Cricetulus griseus: one gene and its partners. The protein of the gene in region 2 binds, or shares a complex with, the protein of the main gene of each other region. Links are inferred from orthologs where the notes say so. Each region holds a gene or a part of one and is shown on either strand. Other genes may lie near its edges.

Evidence for each region.
Region 1: Polr1h (region 2) and Polr1f share a complex: the UniProt entries of both Homo sapiens proteins name them as parts of the RNA polymerase I (Pol I) complex. The link is inferred for Cricetulus griseus from reciprocal best matches to the Homo sapiens genes POLR1H and POLR1F.
Region 3: Polr1h (region 2) and Polr1e share a complex: the UniProt entries of both Homo sapiens proteins name them as parts of the RNA polymerase I (Pol I) complex. The link is inferred for Cricetulus griseus from reciprocal best matches to the Homo sapiens genes POLR1H and POLR1E.

What each region holds. Positions count from the first base shown.
Region 1 is NW_023277425.1:46,382-50,603, reverse strand, and holds the start of Polr1f (DNA-directed RNA polymerase I subunit RPA43), read left to right. Parts: upstream 1-1,395; 5' UTR 1,396-1,430; coding exon 1,431-1,684; intron 1,685-4,222. UniProt on the Homo sapiens protein: Component of RNA polymerase I (Pol I), a DNA-dependent RNA polymerase which synthesizes ribosomal RNA precursors using the four ribonucleoside triphosphates as substrates.
Region 2 is NW_023276806.1:228,751,947-228,756,288, forward strand, and holds the start of Polr1h (DNA-directed RNA polymerase I subunit RPA12), read left to right. Parts: upstream 1-1,506; 5' UTR 1,507-1,549; intron 1,550-4,342. UniProt on the Homo sapiens protein: Core component of RNA polymerase I (Pol I), a DNA-dependent RNA polymerase which synthesizes ribosomal RNA precursors using the four ribonucleoside triphosphates as substrates. Can mediate Pol I proofreading of the nascent RNA transcript.
Region 3 is NC_048595.1:98,426,668-98,430,302, reverse strand, and holds part of Polr1e (DNA-directed RNA polymerase I subunit RPA49), read left to right. Parts: intron 1-1,983; coding exon 1,984-2,042; intron 2,043-2,786; coding exon 2,787-2,931; intron 2,932-3,551; coding exon 3,552-3,635. UniProt on the Homo sapiens protein: Component of RNA polymerase I (Pol I), a DNA-dependent RNA polymerase which synthesizes ribosomal RNA precursors using the four ribonucleoside triphosphates as substrates.

The DNA of each region.
Region 1 (4,222 bases), on a different chromosome or scaffold from region 2:
AAGGGGGAGAAAGCTATGAGAGTGAGAAGGGAAGAAAAGGAAGGATGCAGAGGTCATGAGGAAAAAGAAATTTTGAGTCAGGTGTAGATTAGAAGAAAGGAGATATGATAGGTAGGATTTTAGTTGGGGGTGGTAGCGGAGGAAGGGAGGGAGAAGGGAACTGGGATCCTCATGTAATTCAATCTTGTTTGTAATTCAAATATATAAAAAAGAAAAAGAACAAAAAATAAAAAAGGGGGATGGAGAGATGGCTCAGAGCTTTAGAGCACTGACTGCTCTTCCAGAGGACTTGAGTTCAATTCCCAGCAACCACATGGTGGTTCACAACCATCTGTAATGAGATCTGATGCCCTATCCTTGTGTGCAAGCAGAACACTGTATACATAGTAAATAAATATTTAGAAAAAAATTAAATTAAAAAATAAAATAAAAAAAGGTAGCGTTGTGGATCCTAGTCTAAATGGCTGTATCTACAGTACAGTTCCACACCCAGTGCTTAGGTGTCTTTGCTGAAGAAGGTAGGGAGGTTGTAGAAGCCACGGGAACAGTTTACTTTGGACAGTGCTCTCCAAATGGAGCCTTGCTTCTTCTTTGAGTCTTCCTGCTAATTTGATTCATATTTAGGTGTACCACAAAGGCCCAAGGCCGATGGGGGGCTTAGCCACGTGAAAAGCATGGCAAGACACCCTCACAGTGATTTAGCAGAAAGAAGAGGGAAGCCAGATTGGAGAGATATGGTGGTTTTGGTTCAGATGTTGCCTTTTGAGATTTGTGGGCTTCTGTGTAGGACTGGGTTCAACAAAGGAAACACACTCCACTAATGCTTCATTCCTTAACTGAAAAACAGCTTCAGAGCATAAGCAATTATCAGGCAGCATTGCAACTGGAAAAGGGCATCCCGATTAAGGCTCAGAAAACCTTAACCAGGCGTGCATGCTTTTTATCGCAGCTCTCCTGAAGCAGAGACTGGGAGATCTCTTAAGAGATCTGAATCAGCCTCTGAGTTTCAAGCCCGTCAGAGCTACAGGGAGAGACACTATCTAAAAACAAAAAAGCCAAAACACACAGCAATAGTAATTTATTAGACCTTGGCCCAGCATTGAAAGCGACTGAAGAGACTGAAAAAAAAAAATCAGGCTATATTGGGCCTCTGCCTTTTTTAGTTCCTAGTATCCAGATCGCTAAAATCAAACTCCTCCCGGTAACAGCGCACACTTCCCAGTGAGAAATGCTCTACCTCTGCGGCCGCTTGTCTGGATTTGGGAACGAGCAGCTGCCCTCTGCTGGTCACACACGTCTAATGCAGCCTCCGGAGATTAAAAAAGTCCCCCCGCCAGGGCCGGTCGCTGGTTGATGATGTCATCGGGCGTCGGAGGCGGGGCGCGGACGCTGGCGTCAGCCGCGCGCCCCGGAAGCACCCAGCGAGCCGCATGGCTGCGGGCTGCGTGGAGTCTCCGCGGCCCAGGGCGGGCTCGGAGCGGCCGGCGGCGGGTCCGGCCGGGGTCGTGCCCTGCCTGGAGCTGCCCAGCTATGCCGCGGCGTGCGCGCTGGTGAGCGGCCGCTACTCGTGCCTGGCGGCCGGCCCGCACCGCAGGCACATCGCCCTGTCGCCGCGCTACCTGAGCCGGAAGCGCACGGGCATCCGCGAGCAGCTGGACGCCGAGCTCCTGCGCTACTCGGAGAGGTGAGGTCCCCGCGCTGCCGCCCTCCGGCGCCCCGCCGCGCCCTGCGCCCCTGGCGGGCCCCGGGATCCCCGCGCTGCGGACGGGCGGCTGCTGCTCGGCCTTCCGAGACGAGGATCCCGGGTCGCCGTCCGCGCCGGGGCCCAGCTCCTTCCTGACAGCAGCGGGAGCGGCTGCGCCCGCCGTGCACACAGCGCTCCCAGTGTGGCGACCCCGAGTGCCCGGGGTCCCGAGACCCAGCGGGCCGAGCTTGCGAAAGCTTCACTTAGCCCCTTCCGGGTGTGTTCTCGTTCGTAGTGCAGTTTTGCTGGCAGTATACCGGTTTCTTTCTGCGTCCTTGGAAGACAGCATATATAAACAAGTCGTTTCCTGGCAAAACCTAGGCGCGTTTGTTGTTTGCTTAGGCTCATCTCCCGAGGTTTTCTTTTCTAGGGCCCAATCGGGGAACGCATGGTGAATATCCCCCTTTGCCTAGTTCTGTTTGTAGGAACCGTTCTTTCGACACAAACAAAATAAAATTAGCATGTTTATATTAAGATGCTCAATTGCAACCTCAAAAACAAAATGTCTCAGAATTACATCTCGGCATTTCAAGCGGAAGTGGTAATGCCTTAGTACTTCATAACAAATTATTGTGGAGGGAGCGAGGTCCTAAGCCTGAGGCGTATGGATTCCCCGAGACATCATTGTCCTTCATTAATTCTGTGAAACTTCGGAGTTGCAGGGATTTCTGTGGTGACTGTTCTTAGGCAAATTATCTAAAGCTGTTACCACTTCTCGAGGATTTGGGCACAACCAACCCCATTACTGTTAAGCCCGCCTAGACTAAGCACTGGTACATCCCGTTATGTCTGTATGCCTTAGGCAGTTGGATAGAAAGACAAATAAAAGTAAAATCCTACTTTCAAAGAGCTTTGAGCTACTGTGGGGATATAAATGTAAGCTAGATCTAGAGAACTGTTAAAACTTGACAGACCTAAAATAAGTTGTATATAGAGAAGTGAAGTTAGATCTTGTAACTTTTGAGAACAACACAATAGGGTGGTAGTTAGATGGTGGCATTCCAACCAGCGAGTGGCATAGACAGATGGACCAGAGCATAGTAAAGTGTATCTGCATTGACGGTTAAGTCAGGTGAAACATTGGATGTCATTGATTCCTCAGTGGAGTTTCAAAGACTGGGAGGTGACTCAGAAGATGGTCATTATTGTTCTTTCCCTTCTGCCTTTGTCTGTCTGTCCCTCTGTCCGTCCCTCCCTCCCCTCCCCCCTTCCTGCCTGCCTGCCTGCCTGCCTGCCTGCCTGTCACTGTCTATTTTACTTTGTTTTTTTGTATTAGACCTATTTGTGTGCATGAGTGTTTTGCCTACTTGTCTGTATATGTACCATGTGCATGCCCGGAGCCCTCAGAAGTGGGTGGTTGTTAACCACCAAGTGGGTACTGGGAATGGAACCTGGGTTCTTTGCAGGAGCAGCAAGTGCTCTTAACTCCTGAGTCATCTGCTTGTGGTTCTTACAGTACAGTTGTTGTTTAATCCACTTATTAGCCTCCAACTGAGACATGGTACTCTCTTGAGAGGAGTAGTGCATGTCTGCAGTCCCTGGGATAGCTGCAATTTAAGAAACAATTTCGAATAGGTGATATTTTAAATAGAGAGAGGCAGTAGACAGAGATCAATTAGCAATTTTTGTGATTATCTAAGGAAAATGATTAGAAGTTTGAAAGATTTAAGAATATACAAGGTGATATTTTAAATAGAGAGAGGCAGTAGACAGAGATCAATTAGCAATTTTTGTGATTATCTAAGGAAAATGATTAGAAGTTTGAAAGATTTAAGAATATACAAGGTGATTATTAAATATGAAAATGCAGGCAATTATGTAGTATTGCCATTGGGGAAAAATTGAAGCAGTTATTATAAACTGATAATTTCTGTAACAGAATTGGATAATGCACCTGTGTAGAATAGAATATACTCTTAAGTTTATCTGGATACCTTCCTTTCTTGAAGGTATGCTTAATGAAACCTTTTTTCTCCCCCAGTACAGATTAAGTTTCAGTATTATTCCAGTATTAAGAGTGTTAATAAAGCAAGGGAGGGTAAAACCATTAAGAATGTTGGGAATTGTATTATAATATTAATTAACTATTTATCCTGTATAGTTTATGTTTTCAGACTTGTCCTCTAGCATTCATAGATCTGTATCCTTTTTAAATTGGGGGAGGGGGAGATTGAGACTCCTCCCGGACTCCCCTTTGCTTAAGTCATCTCACCAGCATTCCCTGCCTGACAGACTTGCCCTTCTTTTCTCAGTGGCAGGATTTTTAAGAAAGGTGTCCCATTTCAACTGTGGACTGTTCTCTTAGAGAAAGTGGTTTTCTAAAATCACATTATGACTTTTAAGTTGAATCTGTAAGAGGCCAGTTGTGGGGAAGTGAAATAAAACAAAGCCCATTCTTTTCCATTTGGCATCCTTGGGTTATTTAAAGATGTCAAATGCACTCTCTCCTAGTAGTTCCAAAGAAGTCTTAAATGCTCA
Region 2 (4,342 bases):
TAGCCTTGAACTTCCAACAATTCTCTTGCCTCCACCTCTTGAGTATGTAGGTTTTACCATTATGCCCAGACCTATTAACTATGAGTATATAACCACAATGGAATGGGAATATAGCAAGGTATAGGAGCAGGCTTGTTAAGTGACTGAGCAACAAACATGTCCTGGAGAAAATCCTGCACATGAACTAGAAACATAAGGATAGAATTGTTATTGCTCTTTTTTTCTTTGTAAAAGCATAACTCCAAGTTGAGAAAAAAAATCAATAGTGCAAATTATGTGAACAGACCAGGTAATTTGTTTTTAGCACATTCATTTTAAGTTCTATATATCTTCAAGGATGAATTTAAAAACATCAATGAATAAAAGTTCATCCCCACAATGTAACTGCAAATAGTACCACTTAGAAATACATTCTTGGATGCCGGGAGGTGGCTATGAGTGGGAGTACATGAAGCTTTCTGGAGTATGGTGATGTTCCACTTTTCAGCCTGAGTTGTTACGGGGCTTTACTACGAAGCCCACTGTCTTCTGGCTCCAAATGATCCTGTCTAAGCTCTGGGATTACAGGCATTTACCAACCTACCAAGCTTAAAGAAAATGTTTTCTCTCATGCCTCCTGATCTGAGGTCCTAGGCTAGGGGTTTCCTCTAGGACTTCATAATCCTGCATCCTGCTTGGTCCTTTCCTTCCCATAGCTGGAAAATGATGTCCTTGCTCTCAGATCATTTCTCCAGGAATTGGTTCTCACCATTCCATTCTGACTCCTAAGTCTAGCATTTTCACTCTCTTCACTTACTAGAGCAGTGGTTCTCAACCTTCTTGATGCTGTGACCCTTTAGACAGCTCTGGATATTCATGTGGGTGTTTCTGCATGGGCATGAACTCATGTGGAGACTGATAGTGAAGGGACCAGCTTCCCTTTCAGCAGCCATAACAGCCGAACACATGCTTGCCATAACCTTGTCTTGGTCACTTAGAGGTCAGATGCCTGCCTAGTGACAAGGAACCAATCAGAAGTTAGTCACTAGAAAGTCAGATGCCTGCCTCGAGACAAGGAACCAATCAGAAGTTAGCTGGTGGCGCTATACTTTATGACCCAGGGTGTGCTTTATGGATAAGCACTCAGCAATGACGCACAAAGCATAGCAACCACCCTGGGAGGGCCTATGGGCCATAACAACCAGTTGGCCAATCAACACAGGGCAAGCCCTCCAAGGCTGGAGGCACACCAATAGTGAGCCTGTGCATACCCCTAGACACTCCCCTTACGCTGCCCTGTAAGATCTCTTGGGAGACCCTAGGAGCTGTCTTTTGCGAGCCATCTGCCACGGCGGGTGGGTAAAAGACCCGAGCTAACATGGGGTTAGCTTGTTAAATTACAATAAAGCCTCATGCAGTTTGCATCAAGCTCTCGAATCCGCCTGGTGATTGGGGTGACCGAGAATGTGGCCTGGGACCCCGGATACCTGAGTTTTCCGGGGGGTCTAACATTTGGGGGCTCGTCCGCGATTTGCGACCACCCTTCACCTGAATGGATTCGATCTTGGAGGTAAGATGATTCGAGCTCGCAACTTATATGTTCAATGTTATATGTTTGCTTGTTTTTGTTGGTTTGGTGCCACTTGAAATTGCTCTTTTGTTGATCTGAGCCTGCGCAGGACTCGTGATTTGTAATTTGGACTTCAGGGGGAAATAGACATATTTCAAAGTCCCGTCCTGGACAAAAGTCCGAGGGCTATTTGAATTGAACCATAGGGTAAGCAGACGTGCACAGAAATAGACGTATTTCTGGAATCCTTGGTTCCGCCCTGGATGAAGTCCAAGGGTTGTTTGTAATTTTGGTTTGGGGCACCATTTCTTTGCCACAGGGTTTGTCCTGTCTGATGTCCTGTTTTGCTGTTGGTGTCTGTTAAGCCTAGAGGATTGGAATGGGCTGGGTGACTGAACAGTTGAGCAACAGGTTTGTTATCTGTTATCTGATCTGTTGCAGCCCACACCCTAACCGTCTGCTTGTGTGTCAATTTTACTATTTCTGTTAATTTTGTGGATATGGAGGTCCTATGTTGGGGTTTCTGGCGACATCTGTGAGTAGGCCTACAAGAATTGTTTAAGGCGGAAGTTCGGGCGGCAGCCTTCCGAAATCTATAGGGGAGACTTGGTTTCGAACCAAGTTGATCTCCACGGGGCTAGCCATCTGAAATTCCGAATAGGACCCTAGTCTGTGTTAAACATCTCTTTCTGTCCCTACTGCCCATGCACATGGAATGCATGGGTCAGGGGTCTTTTCTTGATGCTCTGAGCACATGATGCCACCTCAACTGTGATCAGCAGATGCGCCCGGAGGACAGACTGCTGCTCTGAGGACACCCAGGAGGTACGAACGGAGGCCAAGGACTTGGATCCTCCTCAGTTAGTGATGATTGTAGCCGCTGGGTTCTGCAGCCCATCTTCCGTCGCCATTGCCTTATAAGCGGCGCGGGCGGATTGGGTTGGCGTCTGTTCTTTCCTGTCTATTCTGTGTTATCATCATTGGTTTTCAATTCAGGATCCACCACACCACCCCCTTTCTATCCCCACCTGCGGGTCTGTGAGGCATGCCAAGTGGGGCTGTTTCTGCCCCAGCTGCCATCCTGCCTGCCAAGGGAGTTTCCCTGCTCTGAGGGAACATGGCTGCAAGGCCCGCCATCTGCCTGGCTGCTCGGCCTTCTCTGTGCTCCACACACATGGTATGCAGGGGGACCGAGGGGGTCTTTATCCCATTATCCCACCCCTGCATTGGCCAAGGGTCTGGGGTTACCACCAACACCCCCACCCCAGGTCTCTGCCTTGAGCACATGGAGCTGGGGCGTATGAACTTATCTGGCCTGATCCGGACTTCTAAAAAAAAAAAAAGGCCTTAAAGTTATTAAAAGTTATTAAAAACTGTAAAAGGGACTTTGATAAAAATTTTTACATTGACTGAGAAATGAGAGAAAATGTAGGAGACTTAAATAATAAAGAGAAAAAGGAAAAAGAAAAATTTGTCTAAGAATGTCTAAGAAAATCAGAGGAAAGAACTATAAAAAGTTATAGAAAGTTAAAGCAAGTCATAGAAGGTCAGAAAAGAGATTATTAAAAGAGAAAAATGTAAACTGTTTGCTATGGTTTCTCATGTCAACAAATAGTAAATTTTAAAAATGGTAATATAAGTTAAAATTTTAACCATATTAAGCTAATTCTGTTTTTAAAAAGTCCTGTTTATTTCTCAAGTAATTTATGTATACTTGTTTTAAAATGTTCTTTTTCCTGGTATAACCTAAGTTCTGTTACAAGCATGTTAAGCAAAGGGTGCAAGTTATGGCCATTTTGTAACCAGCCACATGGCAAACTGGTCACATGGCTGACTGGCAGCCATTTTGCTGAAGTTGAAAAAAGATACTTAAACCGCCATCCTGACTAAAGATGACCGCGTGGAAATTAGAGGTTCCATCTTAGAAACAAGCTTTTCAGTTAAGATTTAAAGTGTTAATGCTTCTATATATTACAGAAAGATATTAAGGGAATTTAAATTTCTTTTTAAAACCAGTTTTTTAAATGTTTATTTTTATTAATGTTTGTACTTAAAGAGCTTCAATTTAAAATTATTTTTAAGCAAAGCCTGACAATGTAAAATTCTTGTTTTATAAAAGCTGCTAATCTATTATAAGATGTTTATCTTTTCAGAAGTTAAGTTTAGGGTGTTGGTGGCACACGCCTTTAATCCCAGCACTCCAGAGGCAGAGGCAGATGGATCTTTTTGAGTTCAAGGCCTGCCTGGTCCAGCATATTGAATTCCAGGACAGGGTCCAAAGCCACAGAAAAACCCTGTCTCATTTGAGCAAGCAGCTAAAATGTGTACTTGTAGCTACTGTTTAAGGACTATAATGTAACCCTATGCAGTCTTAAATTCAGCTGTGCTAAGTTTCAAATATTTTACTAAGTTAAAACCAGTTACAGTCAGGCTGAAAATTAATTACAGAAATGAGACCTCACCTAGCCACCTGTATGTTTCTTGTGTGCTTAAGGTGAAAGACCCCTGCCCCTTAGCCCTTTCTTTCTCAAGTTTGTCTCCTCTTCCTCCTGTCGGCGGCTTCCCCGATCCCCACCCCCGGCGGCTTCCACTTCCCCCGCCACCAGCCGCACGCCCAGCCCGAGAACGAGCACCAGGTGGGCTGGCCCGAGAACGAGCACCAGATGGGCTGGCCCGAGAACGAGCACCAGGTGGGCCGGCACGAGGGCAAACACCAAGTGAGCCGGCCTGGAGCCCGGCCCCTGAGCCCCCGCCCGATGAGAAACACTCCGTCCCAAGGTCTCCGCCCCCAAG
Region 3 (3,635 bases), on a different chromosome or scaffold from region 2:
CAATATTTTTTTTAAATGAATCACTTATTGATTCCTTACATTCTTCAAGTACTAAACTAAGGACTGTATGACAAATAAGAGCCCATCTCTTCAGCATTTACAGATATTGTCTCAGAAACCAGCCTTTAAAGCAAGAAGAATAGTCATCAGTACAGAATATTAAGGGAGGTGTCTCATAGTACATTCTTTCCCACCACAGACTTAATTCTTCTTGTGTGGGAGTACAGGTGTTCACATGCCACAGCACACATAGGGAGGTCCTGACTGACCTGTGTGAGACACTGTCTGTTGGCTCTGAGTAGGCTGGCAGGCTACCCCTTGAGCATCTGGGGTTCTGTTGTCTCGGCTTCCCATCTTACTGTGGGAGCTCTTGGATCCTAGATGTGTGCCACCATGCCCAGTTTCACATGGGTTCTGGGGATTCACACCAAGGTCCTCGTGTGTGGATAGCAAGCTCTCTAACACACTGAACCATCTCCAATGGAGATGTGAAATTTTATTACATTGGTTTATCAGTGTGTGTGTGTGTGTGTGTGTGTGTGTGTGTGTGTGTACACCACAATGCATGTGTGGCAGTCAACGGCCAATTCAAGCAAGTTGATTTTCTCCTTCTAATATGTGGATCCAGGAATGGGAACTCCAGTCATCAAACTTGGTGACAAACACCTTTACCTGCTGGCCTTCTCCCAGCCCACCACATTTGATTCTTTTTTTAAAAAAAGATTTATTTTATTTTATGTGTATGGTTCTGTTGTCTGCATGTGTGTCTGTGTACCACAAGCATGCATTGCTCATGGAAGCCAGAAGAGGAGTTGGATCCCTTGGAACCGGAGTTACACATGGTTGTTACCTGTCATATGGATGCTGTCATATGGAACTGAACTTGGGTCCTCTTGCAAGGGCATCAAGTGCTATTAACTGCTGAGTCATCTCTTCACACTCTGGGGTTGTTTAACTCTTGACGAGACACATTTGTGTTTCGTGCAGTTTAAAGCCCTGGCTTGTTCTGGCTAGCACATGCACAACTTTAGTTTTGGGTCCTTGCTGTGTGCCCATCACTATTCTGAACACCTTTCATAAGCACCCATGATTACTTCATATGTACTCTAATTGCTTTTTTTCTTTGTTTTTTTGAGACAGAGTCTCTCTGTGTAGTTCTGGCTGTCCTGGAACTCCATCTGTAGTCCAGGCTGGCCTTGAACTTAAGGAGATTTGCCTACCTCTGCCTCCCTAGTGCTGGGATTAAAGGTGTGTGCCACCACCACCTGGCCACCTGGCTTTTTTTTTTCTCTCCTTGCGTTGAAACTTGGCTGAGTCAGTGACCTGCTGCTGAGCTAACTCAGGCAGGGCCATTGCAGAGCTTGTGTTTTTGCCCGCCAGGTTATGCTGCTCACTCCTTGAGTACTCTGAGGGAAGTTGGGGAGTGAAAACATCCGAATTATGTTCACACCTGCCTTTAGGTCTTTGACTAGAAAAGCAAATCTACTGACAGGAAGAACTGAGGACTTGGTTTCTGTTCCCTCTGGCCTGGCTTGGAAAATGCCTGGGCCAGTCACTGTGTCTGCAGGCCTCATTTTCCCTGTTTATGAAGTAAGAGGTTGGAGCAGAGGACACCCATTACCCAGTTCTCTTACTTGTGCACTGAGGTATACAGTCAGTATTCACAGTGTACATTCATGTTAGGGAAATCCGGAATAAGGAAATCTGTTTTCCTTAGATGAATATTAAATAAATACCAAGCACTATTAATATTTTTAAGGCCTTGCAGAGCTGAGCACAGTTGGCTGCAGTCTCCCCTACTTGTGGGGTTGAGAGCAGGGAATCAGTTGAGCTCACAAGTGTAAGACCTTCTTAGGCAACATAGTGAGACCCCATTAAAAAACAAAACAGTAAAATACTCACTTGTGAACCTCATGGTGTGCTTTCTTCCTGTTCTGTGTTTTTCTGAGTCTCATAGTGTGCTTTCTTCCTGTGTTTCTATAGAAGACGCTATTGAACAGGAGCCTCCTCCAGAGAACCAGGCCAAGACTTTCAGGGAAAAGGTGAGCAGTAGTTAGGGAAGCTCCTTCAGGGCCTGGTCTACCCATCAGTGTCACAGCGCCCTTGAATGTGGGCCTCTCTGGCTGTTCCAGTTCAATTGGTCTGTGGCTCTGCCTGGTTGCTACCTGCAGAGGCCTTCAGGTCTCCCAGAGAGCTGCTGCCCTGGCCAGGTGAACACAGCTAATGTTAGTATTTGCACCCTGTTCTCTGGGCTGATGGAGGTATAGCAGAAAACATCTTAGGTTTTGGTCCACATTGTAGAAAATGGTTGTACCTTGAGACTCATGCAAACAAAGTAAGTTCTTTGAGCTTCTCGGTGTAGATCAAGGATTCTTAGCGAAGTGATCTCACCACAGGGTGGCAGACTGAACCTGCAGTGCTGTTGGACCACTGCAAAGAGAAGACTCCTCTGTGGTTCAGGGAGACTGAGTGGTTTATTAACAGTGTCCTGTTACTGGAGCAAATAGCATATTGGCAGGCTGTGTGCCACAGATTTACCAACCCTAATTCCAGTCAAGTTGTCTTTTTGTACTGATGGAAAACTAACTATAGATTTGTAACTGGGAGTCAGTATTATCAAATCCCAGTTCTGATGTGGAACAGACCTCTGAGGTGGACAGGTATGAGAAGGATTGACAGATGAGGTAATCCTGGCTCAGGGAGCCCAGAGCATGCTTGTGCTTACATACGTGGAACAGTCAGCCTGCCCAGCCTGTCCTTCCTGATTGGATTTGTTTCTTACACAGTTGGATTCTTGCATTGAAGCCTTTGGAAGCACCAAGCAGAAGCGGTCCCTGAACTCCAGGAGAATGAACAAAGTTGGCAGCGAATCTTTGAATCTCACAGTAACTAAAGCTGCAGAGAACATCATTGATACAAAGGGTGTGAACGGTAAGCAGCTGGAGCTTGGGTAAAGAGTATGCCCACAAAGACTTGAGATCTGTCACTCACCTCCATATGCAAGTGGTGGGCTTGAAGGCTGGATTCTTTCTTGCTACTTGCTGAGGGCCTGCTCAGGAATGACTCTGGAACCACGAGAAACTGTGGCCATAGCTTCTCTGATGTTGTGTAGTGATTATTAGCACAAGTCTATTTTTTTTTTAATTTATTTATTTATTATGTGTACAGTGTTCTGTCTACATGTTGCCTGCAGGCCAGAGGAGGGCACCAGATCTCATTATAGATGGTTGTGAGCCACCATGTGGTTGCTGGGAATTGAACTCGGGACCTTTGGAAGAACAAGTAGTGCTTTTAACCACTGAGCCATCTCTCCAGCCCCCAGCACGCGTCTTTTTAACCCTATTCTGAGTTAGTTGAGAGCAAACACACTGTATCCACCTTCTGCATGGCTGGGACTCCTGGAGCATCAGCCTGATGGTCAGTTCAGATCTTGGCAGGTGTTCAGATTTGAGTTTTGGACCATGTGGTCTCCATTGCATAGGGTTCATGGCGTGTGGGGGAGCCTGCAGCCAGACAGGGGGACACTCATATGAATTTCCTTGAATTGAAAGCTCTGGTCAGCGATGCCATGCAGGATGACTTGCAAGATGACTCCCTCTACCTTCCTCCCTGCCATGCTGATGCAACCAAGCCTG